Linked DNA regions of Mus musculus: region 1 is reported to be linked to region 2. The links are microRNA targets in miRTarBase. Many come from high-throughput screens and were not tested one by one. Region 2 holds a microRNA gene; the other region holds the end of a gene's coding sequence.
The links. Region 2 holds the annotated microRNA mmu-miR-124-3p (UAAGGCACGCGGUGAAUGCC, at 2,197-2,216, opposite strand). A microRNA usually pairs through its seed, bases 2 to 8, with sites in the 3' UTR of a target mRNA and lowers its output. Matches are read on the target gene's strand: a 7mer-m8 pairs with bases 2 to 8, a 7mer-A1 pairs with bases 2 to 7 and ends in A, and an 8mer does both.

Region 1: the mRNA of Map2k3 is a reported target of mmu-miR-124-3p. The part of its 3' UTR that is shown has no 7-base or 8-base seed match.

Annotation. Positions count from the first base shown.
Region 1 is chr11:60,951,098-60,955,097 of GRCm38, reverse strand. Map2k3 (mitogen-activated protein kinase kinase 3) reads right to left here. Exons shown (of 12, transcript NM_008928.5): 11 at 3,895-3,940; 12 at 2,287-3,334. The coding sequence ends at 3,251. Among named protein-coding and RNA genes, the nearest start is that of Map2k3, 21 kb to the right of the region's middle.
Region 2 is chr2:180,892,151-180,896,298 of GRCm38, reverse strand. Mir124a-3 (microRNA 124a-3) reads right to left here and starts at 2,259; the gene lies at 2,192-2,259.

The DNA of each region.
Region 1 (4,000 bases), not on the chromosome of region 2:
TGACAGGATAGTTTAAAGGAGGAGGGTTTAACCTTTGGTCCATTTGAGGGTACAGCTCATCATGGCAGGAAAGGCACAGTGGCCAGAGCTTGAGATGGTGCATCCATGGTCAAGAGGCAACAGGAGACAGACACTGCTACCTCATCTTCCTCTTCATCCAGTCCAGGAAACTGCACCATAGAATGGTGCCACCCGAATTCAGAGTGAGGTCGTCCCACCTCAGGGAGACCAGTCTAGAAACTCCATCACTGTCATGCTTAGAGGTTCGTCTCCTGGGTGAGCCAATGGTCAGCGCTGACTGTTACAGGGAAGTTTTGAGGCAGGAGCTGCAGCACAATTCTGAGGGAGGCAACAATGCTGATATTGAACCAAAGCTGCCAGCCCTGACCTCCAGGAAGGGGTGTCCTGTAAGTGCCACGTGTCCTCCAGAAGCCATTCTAGGACAGGCCTATCTATCTGTAGTGTTTGTGCTGTTTGAGGGCTCTTGTGCAACGCCTGAAACAGAAAGGCCTCTGTGTCCATCAGTCCAGAGACATTAACTCCAAGACTAGAGATGCCTGCTGGTTCCAGCCGCTGCCTGATGGGAAACAGAGACAACGGGTACTCTGTAGGGCCCTGTTAGGTTCCTAATCTCCTGGCCCTGACTCAAGAAGTGTTAATAGGAACAAGAGGGGCCTGCCACTAAGCAAGGAGCCTGGGGTGGGACCTTCGCTGTAGCCATGGGGCCATGCTTTGAAATGTCAATGTGATCTGCACACTGGATGGTGGGCTAAGGTTTCCAAACAGTAAAAGGACCGAAACCACTATTTGCAGCACTATAAAGAGGAATGTGCTGTGAGGCACTAGGCAAATTTCAGCAAAGTGAATTATTAAGTCCTTTGGAGCCCCACGTGGTGGAGAATTGCAAATTGTTATCTGTTCTACAGAGCCTGTCTGGTCAGCCGCGGGACACTCTGTAAAGCGCGCTGCACTCTAGAAGTGGAATGGTTTGCCAGCTACAAAGCCGGCTCCCTCAGCCCTGTGTGAACAGCACTGTACCCTGCAGAATCTACAGAGGCTTGCAGGGCAGGACTAGGTCCAGGCTTTGCCGCCTCCTGGCGGCCAGGGAAAAGGCGATCTGGCCGCAACCTAGACTACTGCAAAGAAGAACCTGCGCATGCGCAAGAAGAAACGCCCGCCCACTTTAGCCTGTGGGTACTCACGGCCAGACATTGGTTCTACCTTTATGTTATTCTTCAACGAAAGTTAACCAAGTCCCTTTAAGGATTGGCAGTTTCCTCTTACAGGAATACAGTAGCAGGGCACATGTGTCCTGATGGCGTTGGGACTGGTGGGCCATTCTTTTAAATCATGCCATCCTGAGACAGGACCCACCAACACAGATCTTGGGGGAAAGAACCAACCTATGTCTAAAGGCGAGAGGCTCCGTGAAACTGTGAACCTGGGAAACTACTGCACAGAGGTGAAGGAAGAGTGGTGACAGAGGCCCCATGGGTTCTGGACTCTCCCAGGCACACCAAGGCCCTGCTGTCAAACTGTGTGGGCTGACTCTCCCCATGGCCCACCTGTGCCTGAAGTTACACTCCAGTCTTCTGACTTGGGCATGAGCACATGAGTCCTTCCTAGCCAGGAGTAACCCTCCAGAGAACTGTGGCTGAGTGCCTGTGTTTGTCAAGCTAGGAGAAGCAGTCACTAGATCCTGATGACCTCATAGAGTAGTGTATGGACACAGGTCCTTTAGGATATTGTCCTGAATCCACCAGTGCCTGAGATGACACATTCCTGCTTACAGGAGAACAGGGGTAACGGGGCCTATGCAAGTCTTCCAGGCAACAGCTCAAGAAGCACAGAGCCATGCTGACCTACCAAGGGCATTTATACCAAGTCGCATCCTCAGAGCCTTCTTGTAGGCATCACTACCTGCCCTCGGCCTCAGCTGGCTCTGACTACGTGTTAGGGAGCTCTCTGGGCACATTCTCTCAGCTTACAGCTGAGATAGCAGTGCAAACAATGTGGAGCCTGCTGCTTCCTACCCGGTCATCTCTACTTCGGGGACCATCACTTGGATGAGTGAGTCAGGTTGCCTCTACAGGGGCCTAGCCTAGGTGGCCATGGAATGAAGCACCTCAGCCCAGCACCTTGAGAGCACCTGTGGCCTGTGGCCAAGTCTGAGGCCCTGGTGGGCTGGCAGCCTCCAGGCCCTAGCTATATTGTCCCGGCATGGTCCCAGAGTAAGGATTCCGCCTAGGGCTCCACAACTCCCCAAGAAAGAGCAGGCTTGCCACAGTCAGTCTCACACGATTTTTTTTTTTTTTTTTAATTAAAACAGCAATAGGTTCCTGCCCAGGAAAAGGCTGGAAGAGGCAGGCCTTTCTTCACAAAAATAGATTTTCTTCTTTTTTTTTAAAAACACCACCAAAGTAAACCTATTAGCTTCCAAGAGCTGGTCACACCTGGAGAGTTGTTACAGCTCCCTCGTGGCTTTGAGCCAAGAGCTTGAGCCATCCTTGCAGACTCCAGTCCGAGCACTGGGCGGCTGTGAGCCTGCTGGCACCCAGGGTTAAGTGGTCAGCTCCAAACCATGCAAGAAAACCCAGCAATACCCACAAAGCAAAAGGCAACAGGAATAATAGTTCAAAGGGAAAGGCAGATACCACTAAAGGTGGTAACCAGAGGCTGTCTGAGGACAGTGTGTCCCTCAGAGACCATTGGCCAGTGCTGGGGGGAAGGCCTTGGGAAGCTCAGTACGTCTCTCAGGAAAGTCTTAGGAGATTCATCCCCATAGTGTGTCCTCAGCACCTGAGACAGGATAGAGATGTCCCTGATCCAGGCCACAGTGTACGAAGTCCATTCATTCAGTTGTGATTTAAAATATATATACAACCTGCATGGCATCCAGGACAGTACCAAGGCTATGGCCTGTCCAGAGAGACACCAGCTGCCTGCTCTTCAGAAGCGACAGCGTTTGCCGGGGTACACAGGCCCTGTCAGATTCATCCCTTGGGTAGAGGCCTGAGACCCTGGGAGCAGCAACAGCAGAGGCACTGTGGGGCACATATGGCCTGGCTGGGAGCCCCTGAGGTCTGGTTCTTTGGCACTTGGGACAGCTAGTTGCAGAGACCGACAGGAACAACCCCTTAATTTCTCAAATGCCCAGGAACAGAATGGCAGTAGCTTATGGCTGTAGGTAAGTGCTGCCCCAGCACGGATGTATGGATGCTGGCAGACCAGTGGGGTCCTGGGCCAGTCCCTATGAATCCTCTCCCAGGATCTCCTTCACAAAGGCAGCAATGTCTGTCTTCTTAGTTTTGTGCAAGGTGAAGAATGGGTGTTCCTGGTAGGAAAGAGAGGTACAATTTCTAGGGGTGAAGGGGCACAGGAGAAAGTATAAAGGAGAGGTTCCCTCTTTTCATGCCCCTCCTACCTGGCCAACTCCTGCTGGTCCATCCAGGACCGCTGCCCCTCGAAGCCCTCCAAAACCATCAAAGCTTGTGACTCTGCCTCACCCTCCTACAAGAGTCCCTCCTGCCACACAAACATCTCTTTCCTCAAGGGTACCAGACCTCTGCCCTACCAGACCCTCTACCCTTCCTTCATTAGCAAAGAGCCCATACCCATCCTTCCAGGCTCAGCTCAAATGGCATCTCCTCTAGGAAGCCTTCCCTGATGCCACAGTGACTCCTGTGCCCCACTGTCACAGCCCCGTGCACCTTTCCACAAGGCCTGGGGTACAGGCATGGGTGAAGGTGAAACTACACAAGCACATGCAAGGGCCAGGCAGAAGAGCTACCTCTCTACCCTGGAGTGCAACCCTCTTCCAGACAGTCCCACCCAGCCCCACCCAGCCACTACACAGCACAGGGGACAGGGCAGGTACTTCTCGTGCACACTCACCATCAGCTCCAGGTAGCTCATGCGCTCTGCAGGGTTCTTCCTTAGGCTAGGAAAGAGGGCAGTGAAGACAGGCTCACACGGAGGAAGCGAATCCAGACAGGCTGGG
Region 2 (4,148 bases):
CTGCGTGAGGCCTGCCCACACCCCAGCAGACAGTGCTGCACCCTGAGCACAGTAAGGATTGAAAAATGGCCTTCCTACCGAATGCCCCATGTCTGCTAGCCATGCCCAGATTGGTCCTGTGCCCCTGAACTGAAGCCCCTAGCCTCCACTGAAGGGGGTGCAATGAAGGTGAGTGAAGGTGATTGCTACTCAACCTGGGCTGGGGCACAGGGCAGCTTGCCATGGGCTTTACCGCCTATCCACTCTCCAGCCCACCTCCCTTACCATCCTCCCCACCCCGATCTCTGCTCACAGCCCAGAAGGTCACTGTGGTCAGGAGCCAACTCTCCAGCAAGGGCAGCGGTGGCACAAGAATGGAGCTCTAGTTCCAGGGGAGAGGCAGGGGGAATCTTCCCTCTGGGAAAAGAGCCAGGCTGCAGTGTAGAGCACCCCCAACAGAGCTCAACGAGGGGCATAGTCCTGTGCCCCCTAGGAACCTTTACACTAGAGGACTGATACCTCTACCAATTCCTTCAGTATTGCTTTGAGTTCACCTTGCAGCTCTTCTGAGGGAGGAAGGGAAAAAGAGACAGCAAGCCCAAGGTCAGAGCTGTGGTATGCTTGGGCCCCTTCTCCACCCTCCAAGAGGCAGAGGTTCTGCAGAGGCTCTGCTTTGGGGACAGGATGCAAAGGCACTAGTGGTCTATGAGTGTGTGACTGTGTGCATCTCTCCATGGAGTACTGAAGCAGTCTCCCTGCAGCATCTCTTTGTGTCTTCACGCGGGCCCTTTTGTCTTGCTTTTCTGCAACTGCACAGGACTTGAGGCTAGGAGAATTTGGGCGGTCAGTTCTGGATCTGGGTCAGAGCCAGGAAAGGGGCTCACACTCACCCCATGAAGATGAAAAGCAAGTCTGCAACTTGTCTGAGGGGGTGGGGGTGCAGAGGTTGTGACCTCCTCCACTGACAGTCAATCCTAGGTCATCAGTTTCCAACCTGTGTATCAGGACTCCTTTGCCAAACTCTATCTCTAAAAATATTTACATTAGGATTCATAACAGTAACAAAATTGCAGTTATGAAGTAGCAACAAAATACGAAGTAGCAACGAAAATAATTTTATGGTTGGGGGGAGGGGTCACCACAACATGAAGAACTCTATTAAAGGGTAGCAGCATTCTGAAGGTTGAGAACCATTGCCCTAGGTAATAGGGCCTGTAACCTTGGGGATCGGAAACCTTGCTGGGAGGAGACATGCCAGAGCAGAGTCTCATACCAGGACGCCAGCAGGTGGCGCTGGCTGCCGAGGACAGGAAAAAAAATGCCTGCAGCAGACCTGAGTGGGTGTCACTGCGGCTGCAGATGGTGGTGGGGGAGGGAGGAGGAGGATTTGTCATTTTCTCTCTGGGCTGCAGAGCCTCACGTGCCTCGCGTCCCGCATAGCTGGAGAGAGGTTTGGGGGCGGGATGCGGTCCAGTGTATCCACCCAGATTTAGACCTTGGATGCAGATGCAGATCCCCCACTTCCACAGCTCGAACCTCAACCTAAGGTTCAGGGGTTTCTTCAGAATCAAAGTGATCACCGCCTTCACCCTGCGACCCCAACTAGAGCGCCCAGGGGACAGACTGCAGTGACCCCAGACCCTACCCCATTTCTCTGGGGTTGCTGCGGCAACTATCCAGGGCCCCCTAGATGGGAACAGTGATACTCATGACATCCCTTCGCCCCAAGCGCATTAGCGCCCCGTCTCTCTGGGTGACTCCACGGCCAGCACCGAGGACAGCGCCCAGGACTGCCCGTGGGTAGCGGGACGCGCCAACACAACCCGGGAAGCTGCACACTTCCCTCCCGCGCCCCTCAGCCCGCCGCTTCCCCAGCCCCTCCCTTTGTCTTCTGGCCCTCGTCTCCCTCTTCGGGATCTCGAGCACTCAGAGCTGCGGACACACGTGGTCAGGGGCCGGGTGGCCACATTCTCCCCCGCGGTCGCCCCCACCCTTCTCGTGACGTCCTAGGCATGCGGGCCCCTTTGTGTCCCGCGGCCAGATCCCCGGCCCAGCAGCTGGGCCGCCCTCTGGGCGGGCGCATTGTTCGCCGGATTTGTCCGCGGAGCGAGGGGCCACCGGGGGCCGGGGCTCGCCTTTTTCCCGCGGGAGGGGCGCCGCGACGGCCGGGCTCCCGGGCCATTTCCATGAGAAAGGAGCGGCGGAGGCGCCTCTCTTGGCATTCACCGCGTGCCTTAATTGTATAGACATTAAATCAAGGTCCGCTGTGAACACGCAGAGGGGCCCTCAGGGCTGCGGCGGGCGGCGAGCGGCTGGACCGGGTCGGGGCCGGGCTGCGGCTTGCGTGGGGTCCTAGCCTGAGGGGCGCGAATGCTCCAGCTTCTTCGCCGCGGGGCGGGCGGGCGGGGCGGGGCTCCGCGCTAAGCTGGCAGTGCTGCCCTGGTCCGCCCCCAACTCCGAGGAGCCAGTTTTCCTTCCCCTCCCCGAGGTAGAGAAGGGCCCGGGCAAATCCCTCGGGGCGTTCCTGCAGTAGGGACCCCTCGGAGCCGCGGCGAGGGAGATGCAGGAGCCGGCCGGGGTGAGCGCGCGTGCTCCGGCCTGCTGCAGTCTTCTGACGGGTGCAGAGCCCTCTCCACCCCGGCGGCGCAAGCCTCTCCGCAGCTGCCCTTCCCCGGCTCCTCTTCCCGGCCCCACCAGGAGTGCGTGAGTGCGGTGAAAATAAAGAACCTCGATGTTCGGAGATGAAAAGCAGTCTCTTTCTACAACCCGCCGAGCTCTCTTCTCTTACGCCTCTGGCTGGCGAGAAGCTGCTCGAGGAGAGAAAGACGGGGTGACCTGAGAGACCGGCTCGCCCCGGCACGGGCCGCCAGCGCAGTTACCCGTCCGGGCGCGAGCCGCCGCCGCCTGCTGCTTCTCGGTTGCCGCCTCCGCTCCGCAGCACAGCCTGCGCTGTCGCCCGATCCCGCCTCCGCCTCCTTCTTGGCGCCCGCAGGACCCGCACGCTACGGCCCCGGGTGGAGGAGAGCGCAGGGACAGTGCCAAGGAAGCCGGGCAAATTCCTGAGGGCCGGGTGGGAGCCCGGCGTCCGCGAGGTCGGCACTGCGGGAGTCTGACTCCCACTCTCCTTGCCTAGACCGGGTGCGACCGTCCCCGCGCTCGCCGCCGCCGCCGCTGCCTCCGCTCGTATCCGCGCTCGGCTCCGGCACCGGGCGATTATCACTGGGGCGCGCGGTGACGTCACCCGACACCGGCTCTGCCGCCTCCTCTCGGAGGTGTCCTTGAGAACTGAGGGGCACGCGCACCGCGTACACGCGCACTCACGCACCGCGCGACCCGTGCCTCCCGCGCACACGCTCGGCGTCCCGCTCCGCGCGCTCCTCGACTCACACGGATGCAGCCCTCGAACGCCTTCGATTGTGCCCGGCGCCCCGGGGTCACACGTATGCAGAGAAACTGCCTCTTGGACACTCTCGAACCGCTCATTCTGTCCTACTGCACGACCCACGCAAAAGCTTCTCCCGCAGCCCACCGACCGCAGCTCCTCTACACCCACCACCAGCCACACCCCGCTGTGCAGCGAACACACTGTGCTTGCCTCACACAAGCGGCTGGTCCTTCCGGAATAACCACTCTACACAGTGGCTTCTGAGCCTCTCTCTCCTGGGGGGGGGAAAGAAAGGGGTCCTAGCCTCCTGCTGGCGGCCCTATGTGGAGAAGGGAGTTAGACATCTCCCCCAACCCCCATCAGAGACTGCTCCCCTTTTTCACCCTTTTTCTAGCTGGGTAGCGAGTCCTTGCTTACGAGGATGGGAGAAACACAGTCCATACTTCACAGTTGACTGCAATTGAATCTACTCTTTGCAGTCTATTGAAGGGTGACTACCTTGATCTGGGTCTTTAGGGCTAGAGATCAGCGGCTTTCCAAAAATAAAAAACAAAAAAAAAAAAAAAAAAAAACCCACGCCACTCTAGGCCTTCCCAGCGGGCCTTTGTTCCTGCAGACTGGAAGAACCACACAGAAGTAGGCAGGCCTCTGTCCTATCCTTTCTCCCTGGGCCAACCCAGCCCTTGACCACCTGCCCTCTAACAGAAGCTAAATGACCCAGGCATAAATTCTTCCCCCTCCCTTTCCAACCTTCTCCAGCCCCGTGGGAACCCCCGAAGACACT